2 linked regions of the Daphnia pulex genome follow. The protein of the gene in region 2 interacts with the protein of the main gene of each other region in a pairwise test. Links are inferred from orthologs where the notes say so. Each region holds a gene or a part of one and is shown on either strand. Other genes may lie near its edges.

Evidence for each region.
Region 1: the proteins of GRIP and coiled-coil domain-containing protein 2-like (region 2) and ADP-ribosylation factor-like protein 1 interact in a two-hybrid assay, tested with the Drosophila melanogaster proteins (2 studies listed by BioGRID). The link is inferred for Daphnia pulex from reciprocal best matches to the Drosophila melanogaster genes GCC185 and Arl1.

The regions. Positions count from the first base shown.
Region 1 is NC_060020.1:4,903,382-4,911,720, reverse strand, and holds ADP-ribosylation factor-like protein 1, read left to right. Parts: upstream 1-3,312; 5' UTR 3,313-3,473; coding exon 3,474-3,477; intron 3,478-3,550; coding exon 3,551-3,650; intron 3,651-3,712; coding exon 3,713-3,829; intron 3,830-3,889; coding exon 3,890-4,001; intron 4,002-4,075; coding exon 4,076-4,285; 3' UTR 4,286-4,670; downstream 4,671-8,339. Other genes in the region: NADH dehydrogenase [ubiquinone] 1 alpha subcomplex subunit 9, mitochondrial-like, read right to left, coding at 4,765-4,941, 5,011-5,076, 5,146-5,263, 5,334-5,580, 5,639-5,776, 5,845-6,246, 6,312-6,351; heart- and neural crest derivatives-expressed protein 2-like, read right to left, coding at 7,512-7,631, 8,127-8,339. UniProt on the Drosophila melanogaster protein: GTP-binding protein involved in protein trafficking; may modulate vesicle budding and uncoating within the Golgi apparatus.
Region 2 is NC_060018.1:5,673,840-5,682,855, reverse strand, and holds GRIP and coiled-coil domain-containing protein 2-like, read left to right. Parts: upstream 1-3,841; 5' UTR 3,842-3,938; coding exon 3,939-4,071; intron 4,072-4,203; coding exon 4,204-4,577; intron 4,578-4,654; coding exon 4,655-4,975; intron 4,976-5,044; coding exon 5,045-5,629; intron 5,630-5,703; coding exon 5,704-6,167; intron 6,168-6,237; coding exon 6,238-6,442; intron 6,443-6,517; coding exon 6,518-6,665; intron 6,666-6,736; coding exon 6,737-7,149; intron 7,150-7,220; coding exon 7,221-7,403; 3' UTR 7,404-7,799; downstream 7,800-9,016. Other genes in the region: probable 28S ribosomal protein S6, mitochondrial, read right to left, coding at 1-249; cytochrome c oxidase assembly protein COX15 homolog, read left to right, coding at 837-1,074, 1,147-1,181, 1,238-1,335, 1,402-1,588, 1,658-1,910, 1,983-2,137, 2,200-2,313, 2,379-2,519; von Hippel-Lindau disease tumor suppressor-like, read right to left, coding at 2,939-2,942, 3,016-3,242, 3,312-3,506, 3,578-3,664.

The sequences.
Region 1 (8,339 bases), on a different chromosome or scaffold from region 2:
TTCCAAGCTATCTTCACTCCTCTGTGACGGGCGACATCCCTGACGGTTTTTACCGGTTTTTACCATCTATGCTCATGTTGTGGGCTTTTTGGTTGGCCGCTGGTTGCCATTTCTTCTCAGCGGGACACGCATGGACGGTTCACACTTACAGAGAATTCTCTCAACGATTTGAGGCCGTTTGTTCGAAAAAAAAAAACGAAACATCCAACCAGAATCAGAGGTCTAGCCAATGAATAGATCCAAGCAGGCGAGTTATTCTTGGGACCGTGTTGGAAATCTTGAGCGACATCGGGCTAGATGCTTCACTTTGTGATACGGTGGAACGACCGTTAAAACGAATTTCAACACTTTTGTGTTTCTAAATCTGTTGAAAGAAAATCAAATGCTCATTACCTATGGAATCAAAAAGGAATAAAAATGTTTCTTATTACCTGTGCTTTACGTCATTGGTATAATGGAGGTGATAAAGGTTAGATAATGGAGAACTTGAGCGACAAGTAACATTTAACTGTCTCTTTTTCCTGACGCCTGTTTCTTACTGACAGCAAGTGGATTGCTCCTATACTGGTCTACATAGGTCTGTTGTCGGACATGTGTGCCTAACTTGGAAAATGACGTCAATTAGTATAAAGGAGATTTTAATTTGGTGGAGGTACTACTGCTTTCCTCCTTGATGATTCCACTTAGTACCTTTAGTAAGTCAACAAGGGCACACCATAATAATGCCGTCTTGGAGCGCGTGGAATAAATTCCGTTGGCTTTTGGTATAACAGTAGTAGGATAATCCTCTTCTGCCTCTACTTCGGGTTTAGATTCTTTTTCTTCCTCAATATTGACGACCGTCTGAAAGGTATGTCTAGCAAAATTCCATATGAGATTTTCTGTTGCCTAAATTACAACAAACTATTAGTTCTTTACGTTCTTTTGTCTACTATATTGTGGGAACAACTTGCCTAAATTTTTTTTGGATCAGATGGTTTTTTCTTGTTGACAAAGAGCCTTTTCAAATTCAGTCGTGGCCAAAACTTCCATACGTTCAAATTGACGGGGCTTGGCAGGCCTATTTCATCTTACGGTAATCCAAGGCTCCAGGTTTTCAGATTTTCTAAACTGCAGCAGCAGTTTATTTGATGGAAGGTCGGGTATAGTGACATGTTTGTATTACTTTCTTTCATGGTCGGGTAGTGTGATTGCATTTGTCCTTTAGTTACATTTTGTGCGATCGATCCAACAGTTTGTGAACACTGATCGGCACTGGAAAGAGGTTTCGTCACAAACCATTCGTAGGCCTACCAGACGTGAGTGCGATCGACGCAAAGCAAAAAATGAATCTCTAGAAAGTATCCCTTTAAAACGAAGAAAATTAAACATCTTGTCCAATTATTGGAGAAACAGCTATAAACTTATTACCTTCTTCAATCTGATGATGGGATTCTGGATAGGGAAAAGAAACAAACCAACTGAACATTTCTGGCGAGTGTATATAGTAGGATTGATAGAGAGCATTACATCTTTGTGATGTTGAGTACGTTGGGAAATTGATGCACTTCATAACGACTGTGGTAAATCGTCATTTCTATTGAATTCAAGTAAAAAGTTAGCGGAAATTCTACTTTTTAGAATAATTTTTTTTCAACTCTGCAAGTGGCGGTATTGCTGAATGACAGCACGTCAGTCAGTGGTTGCAGATTTGTCGTCAGGTTCCACCAATGAATTCAGTAATTGAAAAGCGGCGCAGGATTAACCTGGAATGAGAATGGATGTTACTTGAGGTACCAAAAATATCAAAGAAGATTGTAGCGACACCAAGCAATACCTCAAATCAAGAGCGGACCCGTTCTAAGAAAGTCAAAGAGGAAAATTCATGGTAGCAGCCAACGGATTAATACTATATTATCTTTATCATGAACTGCTTGAAAAAAGTATCAATTAATGAGAGTCAAGAGAGAACCTGTAAAATAAAACTAAAAAATATTAAATCATCGAGTTTATTGTCATCAATGTGCTTAGTATCAAAATAATTATGTTATGGTGTTTACCTTTTGCATTCATCCCATATATTGGGCTGAAAAGTTTATGTCTGTAGCTGAACAGCTAAAGCTGTGGTAATACAAAATATTCAGATGAGGCTTGTGTGAAAATTGGGAATTTCCATGCTCCATTAATATAATCTGATGGGACAACAAATCACACAAAGATCATCTAGGAATAGTAAAATACAGAGATGTGTGTAACAATAAACAATGATGATGATGAGATATCAGTCATCCCATGTGATCAGTCTACTCTTCCAGACTTGCTTACATATTATGTCCGTTAAAACCAGTGAAAACAATTAAACAAAGAAACCATGCCATAAAATTTCCTTTGTTTTTTAGATTGATTTTTCAGCTTGGCTTACTGTATTGGACCATTCACCATTGTATCCCTATTGTCACAGGCACCCTGCGGCCTGCACCCTGAAAATGTCAGCTAGATAAATTTTATGAAAATATTTAGTCAAGAATGCAATGAGAATCCTTAGCTCAAAAAGAGTATTGTCTATTCAGCAACTTTATGTAAAAATTTGAAATGCCAATGATCCCATTGATCTATTAATGCTAATGCAACCTTGATGAGATGACAGGCATTGCACACATTAATTATGTAGAATAGAATTGTAACATACATAGATGGGTGTATTAAAGGGTAAAAAAAAATGGTGCTTAAGAAAGTTAGAAATTTACCTTCACATCATTTTGGGGTTGAATTTGGTCCATAAAAAATTAAAAACAAAGAATATTGAACAAATATAAACAACTTTGAGCGGCATTTGCATTTGTTTGCGACACGAGAAAAACAACACATTTCGCCATCTAGTGTCGCAAACAACAATCTTTTTTAAATTTTTAACGAAACTTCACTGGAATTAACGATAGCTTCTCAATTACTGAGCTGACAATCCTGACATCAATTTGATTAGATTTCTGACTTCCCCGTTAATTTGGAGTGGAAAAGAACTGCTTTTACGATCAGTTTACATTATTCAGTTAACTCCCTGCTTCTTTCGAAATTATTTTGTACAAACATGATGGAACATGAACATGTTAGTGATGTTGACTATATGTATATCTCTGCTCGTTGGCTCGTAGTTTCGTATCATATAAACGTGGTGCATGGTTTTACCGTTTTACTTTCAGTCGGCGTTCCGTACGGTCAAAACTCGCGGGGAAATTTTCATAATATTGATGTGCAGACGACAAAATGGTGACTTCCAAATCCATTCCTGAATCCCGAGTTTTAGTTCTCCTCCGAGCCTCGACCCGAGTTTTACTGACAACGTAGCCTTACGGGGAGTTTGAACGAACTGCTAAGTTGCCAACGTCACCGTATCACTCATTGAATAGAGTCGGACTTTTAAGAACTGTCAAATTCAAGTTCTTCCTAATTCCTTCTTGTTTTTGTTTAAATTACTACATTCAGAAGCCTGTGCGATGGGTATGGATTGATTTTTGAAACTAATGTCATTCTTTCGTATCCAAATTGGTTGTAATTACCGGCATTTTTATAGGTGGTCTTCTCAGTTATTTTCGTAGCTTAATCGGTAGCCGAGAAATGAGGATCTTGATTTTGGGACTTGATGGTGCGGGGAAAACTACTATTCTTTACAGGTAAATTGAAGTAAATTCATATGTTTGTTATGTTCTTGCTGGATTGCACATTCCTTTGATAGGTTACAAGTCGGGGAAGTTGTGACCACCATTCCCACAATTGGTTTCAATGTTGAGCAGGTCACTTATAAAAACTTGAAATTTCAAGTCTGGGATCTTGGAGGGCAAACAAGCATAAGGTATTGTTATTTGTTTATTGAAACACCTATTACTTAACTCATTAAACTAACATTGTGCAGACCCTATTGGAGGTGTTACTATTCCAACACTGACGCCATTATTTATGTTGTTGACTCTGTTGATAAGGACAGAATAGGAATATCTAAACAAGAACTTGTTTCAATGCTAGAGGTAAAAGACCACAATAATATAATTAGTTAATTAATTCTTAATTGATTATAACCCTGCTCAATACTCTGTTTTAGGAAGAGGAACTGAAAGGAGCTATCCTAGCAGTCCTTGCAAATAAACAGGATATGGAAGGTGCCATGAGTGTAGCAGAAGTGCATCAAGCCTTAGGTTTAGACTTGCTCAGGAACAGAACTTTTCAGATATTCAAAACTTCTGCAATCAAAGGAGAAGGGTTGGACCAAGCAATGGATTGGCTATCCAATGCACTGCAGAGCCGTAAATAACGCTCTTCGCTTTTTCTCTACCATGTAAATGCTTTGGTTCCCTAATTTTCTCTTAGTTGTTACTTTTTAAAACGGTTTGTTCGCCTCTTCACCATTAGCGGGTGGTGGGCCTCGAATTTGCGAGCATGTTTGTGTGCTAAATTACATTTTCAGAGATGATTGAATCCTTATTGTTCATCTTGAAGTTTGTGAGAGTCAATGTGTTCTCATCATGTTCCATTTCTATCCATCCTCAACCTCTAATATAGATCCAGTTCAAAAGAGTAATTTGTTTTTTTCTGGTTTGTGCAAAAAAATCTTTTGGCAACCTGAAGATCCCTACGAAATCATGCTTGAATAAATTATGTACATGCTAATGGAAACAAAAATAAATGTTTGAATTTTGGCCTTTCTTCAGTTTATAGACTACCTGTTTGAACAACTCGGATGAAAAAAAAATGTACACGATAGCCAACAGGGTGACTATTAGAGCCTTTAGATTAGGCAACAATAGGAGGGGGGGCAGGTTTTTCAAATTCTCCCAATTCCTCGTCGTAATAATTATGGGCACGATACATTTTCAACAACCAAGGGGCTCTCTCCTCAATTCGCGTCAAAGTAACTCCTAAGTCTTCCAGTGTCGGCAGGGAATTGTCAACACAATCGGTAACGTGATCCTAGTTAACACAAACACATATGAGGTAATGCATGGGATTTAATATCAAAATATTTCAAAAGAATCTTACTCGTTCAAGTTTTTCCCATCCAAGGTTTGCGATAGGCCATCCTGGAAGTTTTGCTGTTAAATTGACCTAAAGTATCGTGCCAATAAATAATTCAGTAAAAGTTCAAAATTAAACTAAGGTTTTTATAATACTTACTTTTAACCAGAACAGAGGGGCATAACGCAAATCGTAACGGTAATAGCCCCATTCTTTATCCTTACGCATAACACGGAAAAAATAATCAACTAGCTCTCCAAGTTGGTATCGCTTAGGCCTGTGAAAATTATACAACGTTAGCGAAAGAAGAAACAAATACAATACTGGGGTAAGTAATACATATATACCCAATAGCTTGATAAATTTGCCCATTGGTATCAATGTTTCTGGCAGCATTCAAAATTCCCTGAGCTACGTCCCCAACACATACGGGTTGCTTGATGGTATGTTCTCCCTTTTTCCACAGCGGCATACCTGCACCTTGACGGCGCCAAAATGCAGCATAATAAGTAACGAATCGATCCTCTGAACCATAGATATCCGACGGTCGGAAAATAACTGCTTCGGGAAATTCCTCACGAACGGCTAGTTCACCTGTTAGTTAAATTGAAAATGATTTCTCTGTATTCCGAAAAAATTTATAGTTTCTAACCTCTCCATTTAGCAGACAAAAACTTTGAACCTTCTTTAAGCATAAGAGGTTCAGGTTTCTCAGTTGCATTTAAAGCTGAGACATGGATCATTCTTTCAACCCCACATTCCTTAGCAATGCGTGCAATAGTTCTTGGACCTATAAAATGAATTTTACTGGTTAAGATATATAAGAACATTAAGAAGCGGTTGAATAGAATAATTTGCCTTTCACATAGATGTCCTCAAATGAAAAATTTCGAGTCTCCCATTCCCTGCCAACCACATTGATGACAAGATTGGAATGCTTCAAAGCTTTCCTGATACTATTCTCATCCTTAAGGTTGTAAGGTGTAAAGTAGACCTGGCCCAAGTCTCCACACATCTTCAGTGGTGCAACATCGTAGAAATCACCTCTGTAAGGTAGCACTAGCTGGGTGCCTGTGTTACCCAACTTATTGCAGACAACAGAACCTAGATGACCATTAGCTCCAAAAACAGTAGCTACAACTCCGTTAAAGCTAGATCTTCCTCCAGTTCCTCTTCGAAAGGCCGACATCCGAGAGTTGATGTTTACTTCGGTGCTGTACGACGCCGTGGGTGTGAACACAATCGACGACAAGCTCGCCCCTTTAAAATATAAAGTTGTTCATCTACAAGTTCAATAAATGTTATTTGTTTAATTTAATTCTTACATTGTTTAGAGCTCTGCGAGCATATTTTTAGGGAGGCCATTTTCACTAACAATCACCATCTGTCGGAAGACTGCGATAGTTGGCGACAATTACGGCTAGCTTGAGACATCTGGTGTGAGATAATTGAACGAAATAAGTTGGAATTTTTACCGATTTACTTTGATTGATTGATCCATCAATATCATTCAATGTACTAAGGATCATTTAATCGGGGTTGATCATGAAAATTACCTGGACCGTGTGGTAGAAACCTGTGAATACAATGACAATTTTAATTTTATGTCCGTTTTACCACATTGAGTAAATTGCTGTAACATTTGCTTAGTTAGCTACATAAATTGTAACCTAATTAAGATAAAATAAAAACCCCACACCATCCCCAGAGCTGAAATGAGTTTTCTCGTAAAAAAATAAATAACAAAAACCACTTTGGAAAATAACTCCGCCCCTTGGAGAATCTCGACCAATCAGTGTGCTCCAAACACCCGCAAATTTCAAATAACGATCTTCTCACAACGAATATCATTTTACTATTTTTAATTGAGATACACGATCCATTTTTACCTCGTAATTTACTAATCGCTGTCTAGCAATGGAGGATTGGTTTGACTTTATGTTTACCAACACATCACTCTTTAAATATTAATTCAACGGAAAGATCTATGTACTGTATTTTGTTATTAAACAATAGACTGTTTCGATTCAGGTCTAATTGTAATAATTTAAATGTGCTCAGACTTGGATGCTAAATGAATACTAGATTACCGCTAACATTACAATTGCTGGTAGTACAGGATCAAAAAGGGAATCTGTACGACCTCCCCATAGGCCTACTATGTTAGTAGATTTGAAAGAGTAATTTCTTTAAACTTCAAAATTGAAACTTTTTTTTTATTCTTACAAACAGCTTTTAACACACGACCAGACACAATGCGTGCATAAAATGCAATTAAACACTAATACATTTGTTCTAGAAAAAAAAAAGCCCACAGAAATTCTCTTCATTGCTTTTTGTTTTCTCTCTTACACTGATATTTACTATACAAGTCTAACAAGTTACGAACTATAAAACAAACTCATGTTCATAGACGGGAGAATATAATACATCGAGTCATCAATACTGGGAGGTGAACTTGATTCCAAACGTCGACGTAAAGTTACAACATGGCCATCAACGTCAGTTATTACTAATATGTTTTTTTATTGTTTCAGCTCAAGGGCCCAGACGTGGTGCGGCCATCCCGTTCGTCCTTTGCTTCGCTTGTCTCCATTCGACGGGCAGAGCAACGTGCCGTTCAAATTAGGCTCCTCCTCCTTCGGCTGTTTCACGTACAGAAAGAAAGAAAATAGTAAGCAATTCATTATAGATGATAGTAACGGCATTGGTTAATTCTATTAGTTGAATATAGGCATTTCGCACTTTGCTATTTTTCTCAAAAGGAAATCTCTTTCAGCGGAATAAAGTAAAATCAATCATTGGAATGAGAAGCGAGCGAAGCTCGGCGTAGGGCCGCCCGTGTTTTTCGAGGGTCATGAGTTCACAAGGTTGGTAGGTCGTGTGGCAAGCGAAGTTCAAAAGGGTCAAGAGGAAGCCAGAAGCTCTTATTTGCTGTTTCACTACAATAATAACACGGCCTATACAACTAACCCATCATCAACTGTCCACAGACCCAGGAAAACCTACATCAATATTTTATCTGCCATATAATGTGTTCAATATACTGCAGTATATAGGCTAGCAAACGAAACATTAAGTCCTAACAAGAAAAAATTTACAAACAAAACGCCATGATGTCAATTGAAATCAACGTTTACCTGTTCTTTGTGATGGATGTTGACACTAAATTGTTGCTGCTGGTGTTGCTGTTGATGTTGCAGCTGTAGTTGCTGTTGTTGCTGCTGTTGTTGAGCTGCCGCTTTTTCGCTTTTGCTCTGCCTCCCGAGCTCAGCGCGGAAAGGAATGTCGGTTTCAGGGCCGGCTTCCAGGACGGCCATCAAATACGAAATGTAAGATGTAGCCAAACGAAG
Region 2 (9,016 bases):
CTTGAATTCATCGTTTAGATTTTCAACAGCAGAACTGGGGGCATCAAATTTCATCAAAAAATATGTGCCTTCTCTGTGCCATTGAGTGTGAGCTCTAATCTTGAATGGAAGAGGTTTAGTTCCAATGGAAATGAATTGACGAAGTACTCCACCTTGCTGTACTATCGTTTCAGCAGAACGTTTCAGAGAGGACACTAATTCTGGTTTAGAAAGTACTCGCAACATTAAAGATAATTCATACGAAGGCATGATGAATGCGTTATGATGAATACGGAGCGGTTGCGTTGCAGTTTTATTATTTTATTTGTATTTTAACTGATAGAATAAAAAACGGAACAAATAGGATAAAGTCCGATTTGTCGTTCAGACTTCAGAGCTCAGACTTCAGAATCAGATTTTGTCTGCTTCGAAGTCGAGACACAAAGCAATGCCGCGATGCCATGTTGATAAAATAATGATGAATTTTAATCCGATTGATTGATTTAAAGATAAAATTACATTATTACATTGTAAAGGTAAAAAATAATAAATTGTTTTCTGTCTTTGGACTACAACTAAAACAATAAATGCATATATATATATTTAAAAAATACACCAATAACACTTTGAAATTCGTCTGCTACAGCTGCGATAAACCGGTAGACGTGACTTCATTTGAAATCCAATCTTTCACATCTTGAAAATTGGAAAAAATCATTAGTTCCTTTAGGTTTTAATTAAAAACAAACAATGATAATCGTAGCTAAATTCATTCAGAATCAGAATTCGGTAAGTTGAGATTTTTCAAACAATTCTTGCCTATACCGTCATTTAAATAAACATTTTATTTTCTTTAGTTATGTAATCAAGTTCGTCCTTACCTAAAGAATGCGATCCAGCGAAATTATGTGGCCGCAGTTAAGCCTAGTCGGATTCAATTGAAATGCTCTGCATTCTCTAAATGTTTTAAGAGTTTTCAACCACTTACCAGATTTGTAACAACTGCTGCTGAGGTACCAACAATACAACAATCAAAATGGATTGGACGATGGCTTGGAACATGTGCTGGCATGTGCTTTGGAGCAGTGGTGATTGGTATGGTTTATCAACTTTTTTAATCAATAGATTTAATGATTTACTGAAATTATCTCTTTTATGACTAAATAGGGGGACTCACAAGATTGACAGAATCTGGCTTGTCGGTAATGAAATAGTAACTTACTTGTTATTTCTAAGTTATTTTATAGCCTATTTCCAGATGGTTGAATGGTCTGCGTTTGGTGAAAGACCTCCGATGTCGCGAGAAGATTGGGAAAGAGAGTTTGAAAAATATAAACAGTTCCCTGAATACAAACAGTATTTTTTTAAAAATTAATTACAGTGTTAAAACAGTTAGGATTTTTAGTCAATTTTCCTAAACAGGTTAAAGAAAGGAATCAGCCTTGAAGAATTCAAATTCATCTGGCACATGGAGTATGGGCACAGAATGTGGGGTAGATTAATTGGAGCCATGTTTGTCATACCTGCAGCAATTTTCTGGAAAAAGGGCTACTTTAATTCAGCATTGAAAAAGAGAGTATTGATTTATGGAACTTTGATTGGATGTCAGGTATACAAGTTAAAGCTGGCTTTTCTAAATTTTCTATTTTTTTTTTAAGCTAATATTTTAAACAATTAGGGTTTGCTTGGATGGTATATGGTAAAATCTGGTTTGGAAGATCGATTCCATGGAGAAGCCGATGTCCCAAGAGTTTCACAGTACAGATTAGCTTCACATCTCGGATCTGCCTTCGTACTTTATTCCCTTTTTCTCTGGACATCTCTACATCACCTGGTGCCCGCCAAAGTAATGGAGGTCTCTAAAGGGGCTATCAAATTTAAAAGATTAGTTCATTTTTCTAAAGGAATCGTTTTTCTGACCGCAATCTCGGGTATAACGAGTTCATCAAAGTATGTGTTAATGGTTGTTTTCTAATTTCATTGATTATTCTCGGATTTTAAAGGAGCATTTGTAGCAGGATTGGATGCTGGTCTGGTTTACAACTCATATCCCTTGATGGCTGGACGATTCTTACCTCAAGAATGGCTAGCCTTGACACCTAAAATCAGGAATTTCACTGAAAATCCTTCTACTGTTCAGTTTGACCATCGTACTCTGGTAATAGGGATAATTAAATTTTTCAGTAGAAATCAAATAAAATTTAAATTTAAACTTTACAGGGGCATTTTACCGTCCTCTTATTATCGTCTGTATGGCTTTTGTCACGTCGCATTGTACTTCCACCTCGAGCGCGATATGCTGCCAATGCACTGGCTGCTATGGCGTGGATGCAGGTACACATAACAAATATTGTTGCATGTGTTTTTTCAGCAATAACAAAGAGTTCGTTTTTCCGCAGGCTTCTCTCGGAATAGCAACTCTTCTCTTTTATGTCCCCACACCGTTGGCGTCTTCACATCAAGCTGGTTCCTTGGTATTGCTCTCAACTGCCTTGTGGCTCTCTCATGAACTCAAAAATATGAAGTACATCCCAAAGTAAAACCATTCGTTTGTATACCGTGGTTTGATTTTCCTTTCACTGCTCTGAGAACGAAATCGCACTTTTCACGTAGTTGTGATGTTATTGAAATAAAATCATTAAGTCAATCTGGAGGTGTTGCTAAACTGTTACTATAATACAGTAATACCATAAAATTCTTATCTGTTTTTAGCGAAAGATTATAATAGTAAAAAAAAATGGCCGATATGTTGATTCAAATTTCAAAGTCTCATTGCTAAAACGCTATTTGTTAAGGAACAATGCTTAAGAGTTAAGATTACGCACAGTTAGAGCTATCACAGCTAATTTAACCAATTGAAAACAAACCAGTTAGCTCGGAACTCTTATGGGAAGAATAAATGATATTCCGTCGATAGAATTAATGAACATCCAAGTTGTCAATTGAATCGCTGGACCAATTATCTGTTTCAACGTCATAAAAATATACTTCACAAGTTAAAGTGATATACTGTAATTTAACACTTAACAGACTTACATAGTATTTTTAATTCTTGATGATTTCATGAGCACCACTAGATCATTTTGCAACTGCCTGGGAAGTTCTAGCTGATGAACATGGTTGTAATCTTTTATCCTCTTTCTAATGGCATGCATAGCAGAATATTTGAGAGAATAGAGAGGGCTTGTAATGTTGACAGTAACTCGTTTGGGTTTTATGTCTTCAGGATTAATTTTCCCACTTCGCAAGTCTGGAAGATATTGCTAAAGCATGGGAATATGTGATAATTTGAACAGATTTTTGAAAGCAAACTGTCTTTTTGACCACCTTACCTCATACCATGCATTTGGTTGAAATACATCTTTTAAATTTGCATTTAACCTTTCATGTGTCAATGCATCTTGAAATAGCCAAGGATGAGCCACATATGTGTTTACATCAAAAAATTCTTCTGGTTCTAAAGTCTTATATTTCACTCTTGCACCTTCATAATTCATCCATATTACTTCTACTTTCCTTTGAGTATGCTAATAATTATTAATCAAGAATATATTAAAAAGAATTCAAGAAATGTACTTAAAAATAAGATGTGACCAACATTGCAAAATCGAACGAAGCTTAATCCACGGCTGGGTTGCGACCTCATCTCACGAACGCCATCCCTAGAGTTTTCTTCATTTATCATTTTCACATCAGTAAGAAACTGTTATTGCTATGTGCAAAATTTGCATGTAGTAGACTGTTTAGTAGTAGACTGTTTTTTTTTTCTACGCGAGACTGTTTAGTTCGTGTCGTCTCAGTTTCTTGATTTGGAACTTTTGTATATGTGTCAAATTTGCACGTGATGCATTTCCTTGTCGGAAGATGCCGTATCAAAAATCGTCTGCACCAGTTTTTGACACGTAAAATAAAAGTTCCCGATGTGATTTGACAAGTGCAGAAAACATACAATAATATCAATGGAAGAAAGCTTTGAGAAAACAAATAACGTTAATAAAAAATTACCGTTGGAGGAATTAGACCGAGATGAATTACTGAAACGCTGTAAGAGCTACTTGGCTTTAGCGCAAAGGGCAAAACAAGCTAGAGATGGTAAGTGCTATATTGATGGCATCGGCAATTTAAAAATATTATCGGATATAATAAAATATTCTTCTATTTCCTTTGGTTTGTTTATACTTTATTGGTTTATCTGTTTTACCTTTATTTCTCTTTCATCGATAGAAGTGCAACAGAGAGAAACTAGCCTCCTTGACAAAATTTCAACACTTGAAAGTCAAGTTATCCAGTTGGGAATACAGGAAAAAACCTGCAGCAATAATGAAGAGGAACATCTGGAATCAATTCAAGACCTTTCACTAACTTCAAATGTCTCTGATTTAGTATCACAATTAAAACTAAAAGATGAAGAAACAAATTTGCTGCTATCTAAAAGTGAAGCAATGCAGGCACAGCTTAAAACTCTTGAAGAAAATTATGAACAACAAAAGGATGGCTTTGTAGAAGAATTAAATAAAATGAATGATGTTTTGAAACAGAGGGGTGAAGCCATTACTAGGCTTGAAGAAAAATGCCAAACAAATGAAAAAGAATTCAAGGTATCCAAATTAAATCTATTTGTTGATCTTAAGAAATTTATTCATTTCTTTTTCATCCGCAAATATTTTTTGACTAGGCGAAAACTGAAACATTCCTTCAATTAGTAGCAGAGAGGGAGCGCAAAATTGAACAGTTGGAGAGTGAATCCAGTCGGTTCGAAACGCAGAGTGAAGTAATGAGTACGTCAACCGTAAGCAAAGTGGAAGAAATTCATCGGATGAAAGATGTTGAAGATTCGCTAGAAGATAGATACAACAAGTTGAAAATGTTGGCAGTAAAAATGAAGAGAAAGATTGCTGAACAAAACACACAATTACAAGAGAAAGATAATCAGCTGACTTTGTTGAAGGCGGAGGATAAGAAAACACATATTCGAAATAATTCGTTAAATTTACAGGTAAAGAACAGAGCGTTTCATTCTCTTATCGTTATTTGAATCAATATTTTTACTTTTGTACCAATCTAGGCAGCTCAGAAGGACATTGATCGATTGAATGATGAATTGGATGCGAAAAAATCGGAACTATCCGTAATGAAGAAAGATTGTGAACATTCAATCCAAGAACTAGCAAATAGTAGGCAAAGGGCAGAGGAATTCAAAAACGAAGCTTCTCTCCTAAAAACAACAGCAGCGAACCTTGAAATTTCAAAAAAAGTGTTGGAAAAATCCTTTCAAGATTTCAAAGTCATGTATGATGACAGTCGGAAGGAGAACGAATCCGAAAAAATCCTTAGAGTTGAATTGAGTAAGGAATGCGATCGGTTTAGAAACGAAATCCGCCAGCTGAATTCCACTATTGACGAACTGAATAAAAAGAATCAAGCTGTAAAGCAAGAATGTAAGAAGCAGAGTTTGTTGGAAATGGAACTTACAGATTACGAGAAATCTGTTTCTGAATTGAACGGACAACTGGAAACGCTTCAGAAGGAGCTCGCTTTGAAACAAAACATTGTCGATCAACACAAGGAAGAAAAATCTGGACTTGAAGCACAAGTCTCTCTCTTGGAACAGCAAGTTGGCACGGAACAGCAACGAGCGACAGATTTAAAAGTGAGATTTCCTTTTATTAGTCATCAAATAATTGCTTCAACTAAGTTTCTCTCTTATGCATTTTTCCCACACAGATGAATTTGGATGCAGTTCAGTTAGAGTTAGATTCCATTCAAAACGAGTTACAACAACAGAGAACCGAAATTCGCAACGTCACCGCGAAGGCAGAATCAAAAGAGAACGAAGTTGATAATCTAAAATTACAGTTGTCCACCGTCAACGCCGAACTTCACAAGCTTCAAACCGGATCATCACTACACATTGAAACTCTCCGTAAACAGGTTGCGGCGCTTGAAGAAGCCGCAGCAACCGAGAAAATGGTCAAAGACAGTTTACAATCTGAATTGTCTGAGCTCCGTGCCGAGTATGAAAATTACAAAATACGCGCCACGAGCGTCTTGAAGAAACAAAAGACGGAAGCGCAACCTTCAGCCACATCATCGAAAGAAGCGGCAGATGATTTCAATACGGATCAAGTTGAACGGGAAATGCTGCAACGAGTCGTCGAAGCTCTTAAGGGGAAAATAGCAGAACTCGAGTAAGCCGTTAGTTTATTGATCGGTTGGTTGGCAAAAAGAAATATTGGTTTTAATTGTTTGTTTGCTCAGGTCGCAGCTGGCGCATTCACAAAGTGAAGTGTCCAATTTCAGAGCGGAAAGGGAACGAACTGCGGCAACTCAATCATCAATCGTTGAAGCTATGCAGAACCGCTTGGAGCGTGCTGAATCTGAAATGGAGGTTATCAAGCGAGAACACCAAGCGCAGATTTCTCGATTGCAAGGGGATAATCAATTACTAGCTTCCTTACATCGAGTATGTTCTACATTCTCACATAAAGCTGCATAAAACATCCATTGAATTTAAAATCTATATTGATTGATTGCTCAGGAACAAATCGATGGGATTAAGTTACGTCATGCTCAAGAAATTTTGGAGCTGCAAAATAATTTAGATGAAGTTGGACTGGAATCCGCAAGATTGCAGAAGATTATATCTAGCTATCAGGCACAGCGGACTGTCAGTCCACTTACAAAAGGTTTGCAATGAAATTTAATATTAATGTAGACTCGTCACTAATTATCCCATTCGATATTTGCTGTTCATCAGCGGGTGATCTGCGACGTGATGAAGCTTTCATGATAGAACGGGAACGTGGCGAAGGGTCTGAAGATGGAAGTGTGACCCGCCGATCGACGCAACGTGAGGACAGTGACAACGACTCACGAAAACCCATTCCTTTGGAGCTCTTGCTGAATTCTCAATTGGCATCTGAAGAAACTGTTGTTTTCCAAACCGAACGCCCAGAAACCATCTCCTTTGAACAGTACAGCGAATCGTTGGCGCTGGTGGAGAAACGATGCAATCATTTGTCTGCTCTGTTGGCGGAATCGGAAGCTAACGAAGCTCGCCTCTCTCAACTTGCCGACGCCCTAAAAGAGGAAATAAGGCGTTCCGAGCGATCTGAAGAGCGACAAAAGCACATCGAAAATCTGGAGTACTTGAAGAACGTTGTTCTCAAAGTAAGAAATCTAATTTCACAACTGTGTTCCATGTTTTAACTAAATTGATTCTTTTCTTTTCTGCTTACCAGTTCGTTACCTTACCTCCTCGAGGAGAAGAGCGTAGCCGGCTGGTCCCAGTGCTTACCACTTTGCTTCGATTGAGTCCAGTAGAAGTTCAGGAGGTCCACCAAACATTTAATCGTACGACAGACGGAATTGTCCGGCCCATTGGCTGGGGTGGCGTTTTCAACTATTTCGCTCCCAATCAATAGTCACGTGTGATCTTTTCCGAATTTGGGTCCTTGATGTTCGTCATACAACACTATAGACCCCCTCCCCCCACTGTCCATTTGAAATCGGTTCGGTCCAACTACTCCATCCATCTCTGCATTGTTGGTAGTATTGGCAGTATTATTTGGTACGAGCGTACGTCGGGTCGCTTTGGTTGAGGAAAACCACGAGAATCGTTAGCAGCCAAGTATGGGAAGCAAACTATGCGTGTGATTTTAGCCGTTGTATAGTGTGAAATCAATATTTATGTACCTTATTAAGGAGAACGTTGGCTACTTTCTGGACTTGTGGAGAGGTGTGTGTTCATTATATAAATAATCCCCATTATGTTTCCTTCTTTCGAATCGGTGATCACTATTACATCTTTTCGGATGATACAGCGAATTTTCATTTTCTCTTGAGCAAAACGACGCTGATAATCGCTTATGGCCTTTCAAAGTTTCTTGACACTCCAAGCTGTAGCGCCCTTTGCAGTATCAATGTGCCATGAAAACGGAGTTGGAAACAAACCATGCACTTTTGAGTCTATTGTCAAGCAAAACGGCTCTCAAAGCAGACATTGTGCACGGGGTTTCCGTTAAGTTGAGCATGTGCATGAGCAAAAGTTCAGCAGGGTAATAACAAACCCCCCGCCGAAAAAGGCGGAAAAAGGCGTCCGACTTTTATAGTCAGCTGCATGCTGCGAGCAAGTATAATCACCGAGAGGATGAAACGGGTTTACGGTAGTAGGTTCGGGATTTATGTCCCGTCATGTGGAAAAAGAGATCCTGCTTGCCGCAAACTTTTTTTAAAAGATCTCTCTGCTGGTCTCCTCATTTTCTACCATATTGATGGTCATAAGAAGTAGGAGGGGGGTTGCGATATTCCGGTTGAAAAACGAGGGCCGAGTTGCGGATACATACGTTTAGGCCTGAAGCCAAGGAGACAATGGGACCGTTTTGTCAGCGTTGAGAGTCCGAATAGCCGGGGCGGAAAGTCCGCCCCGGTATAACTCCAACCTCTTCGCCAGGAGCTCTGCTGTGAAAGTATACGGGGCAGCGACCCAGCAAGCAATCTGCAACGAAACACCCGAGCTGGTAAATGATCGATGATGATTGAATTACATGTCACGCAAATATATAGAAGGATTTCTATATTATCACGGTCTCTCTTATATAAAGTCGGTTGCCTTAAAATCTACGCGTTCTCTTTTTACATGGAGAGAAAGAGAGAGAGCCTGTCTTACGTAATCATGTATACGAGTTAGAGCAATCAAGTTACTACCACTCTCTCGTGTTCTTATTGCTCCTTTTTATTATGCGCACAGTACATCGCATGAATTGGTGTGCCAGAACGCGAATCCGTAACGAAGTAGAGAAAACGAGGGACCGAGACAAGAAGGTGGAGCGAGGAAATAGATATGATGATGGACTACTAGGTCCCTGTCGGTTATGTCCTCCAGTGTTGTTACTATGCGGCCGTGGAATTCGGTTAGAATCTGCCAGGCAATAAACGTGCCGTAAGACTGCGAGCCTTTTATTTTAGGTTGATTCTACATGGACTGGGTGTCCTAGTAGTATATAGCGCTAGCTGGCTGCTTTTCCTCGTCGCTATA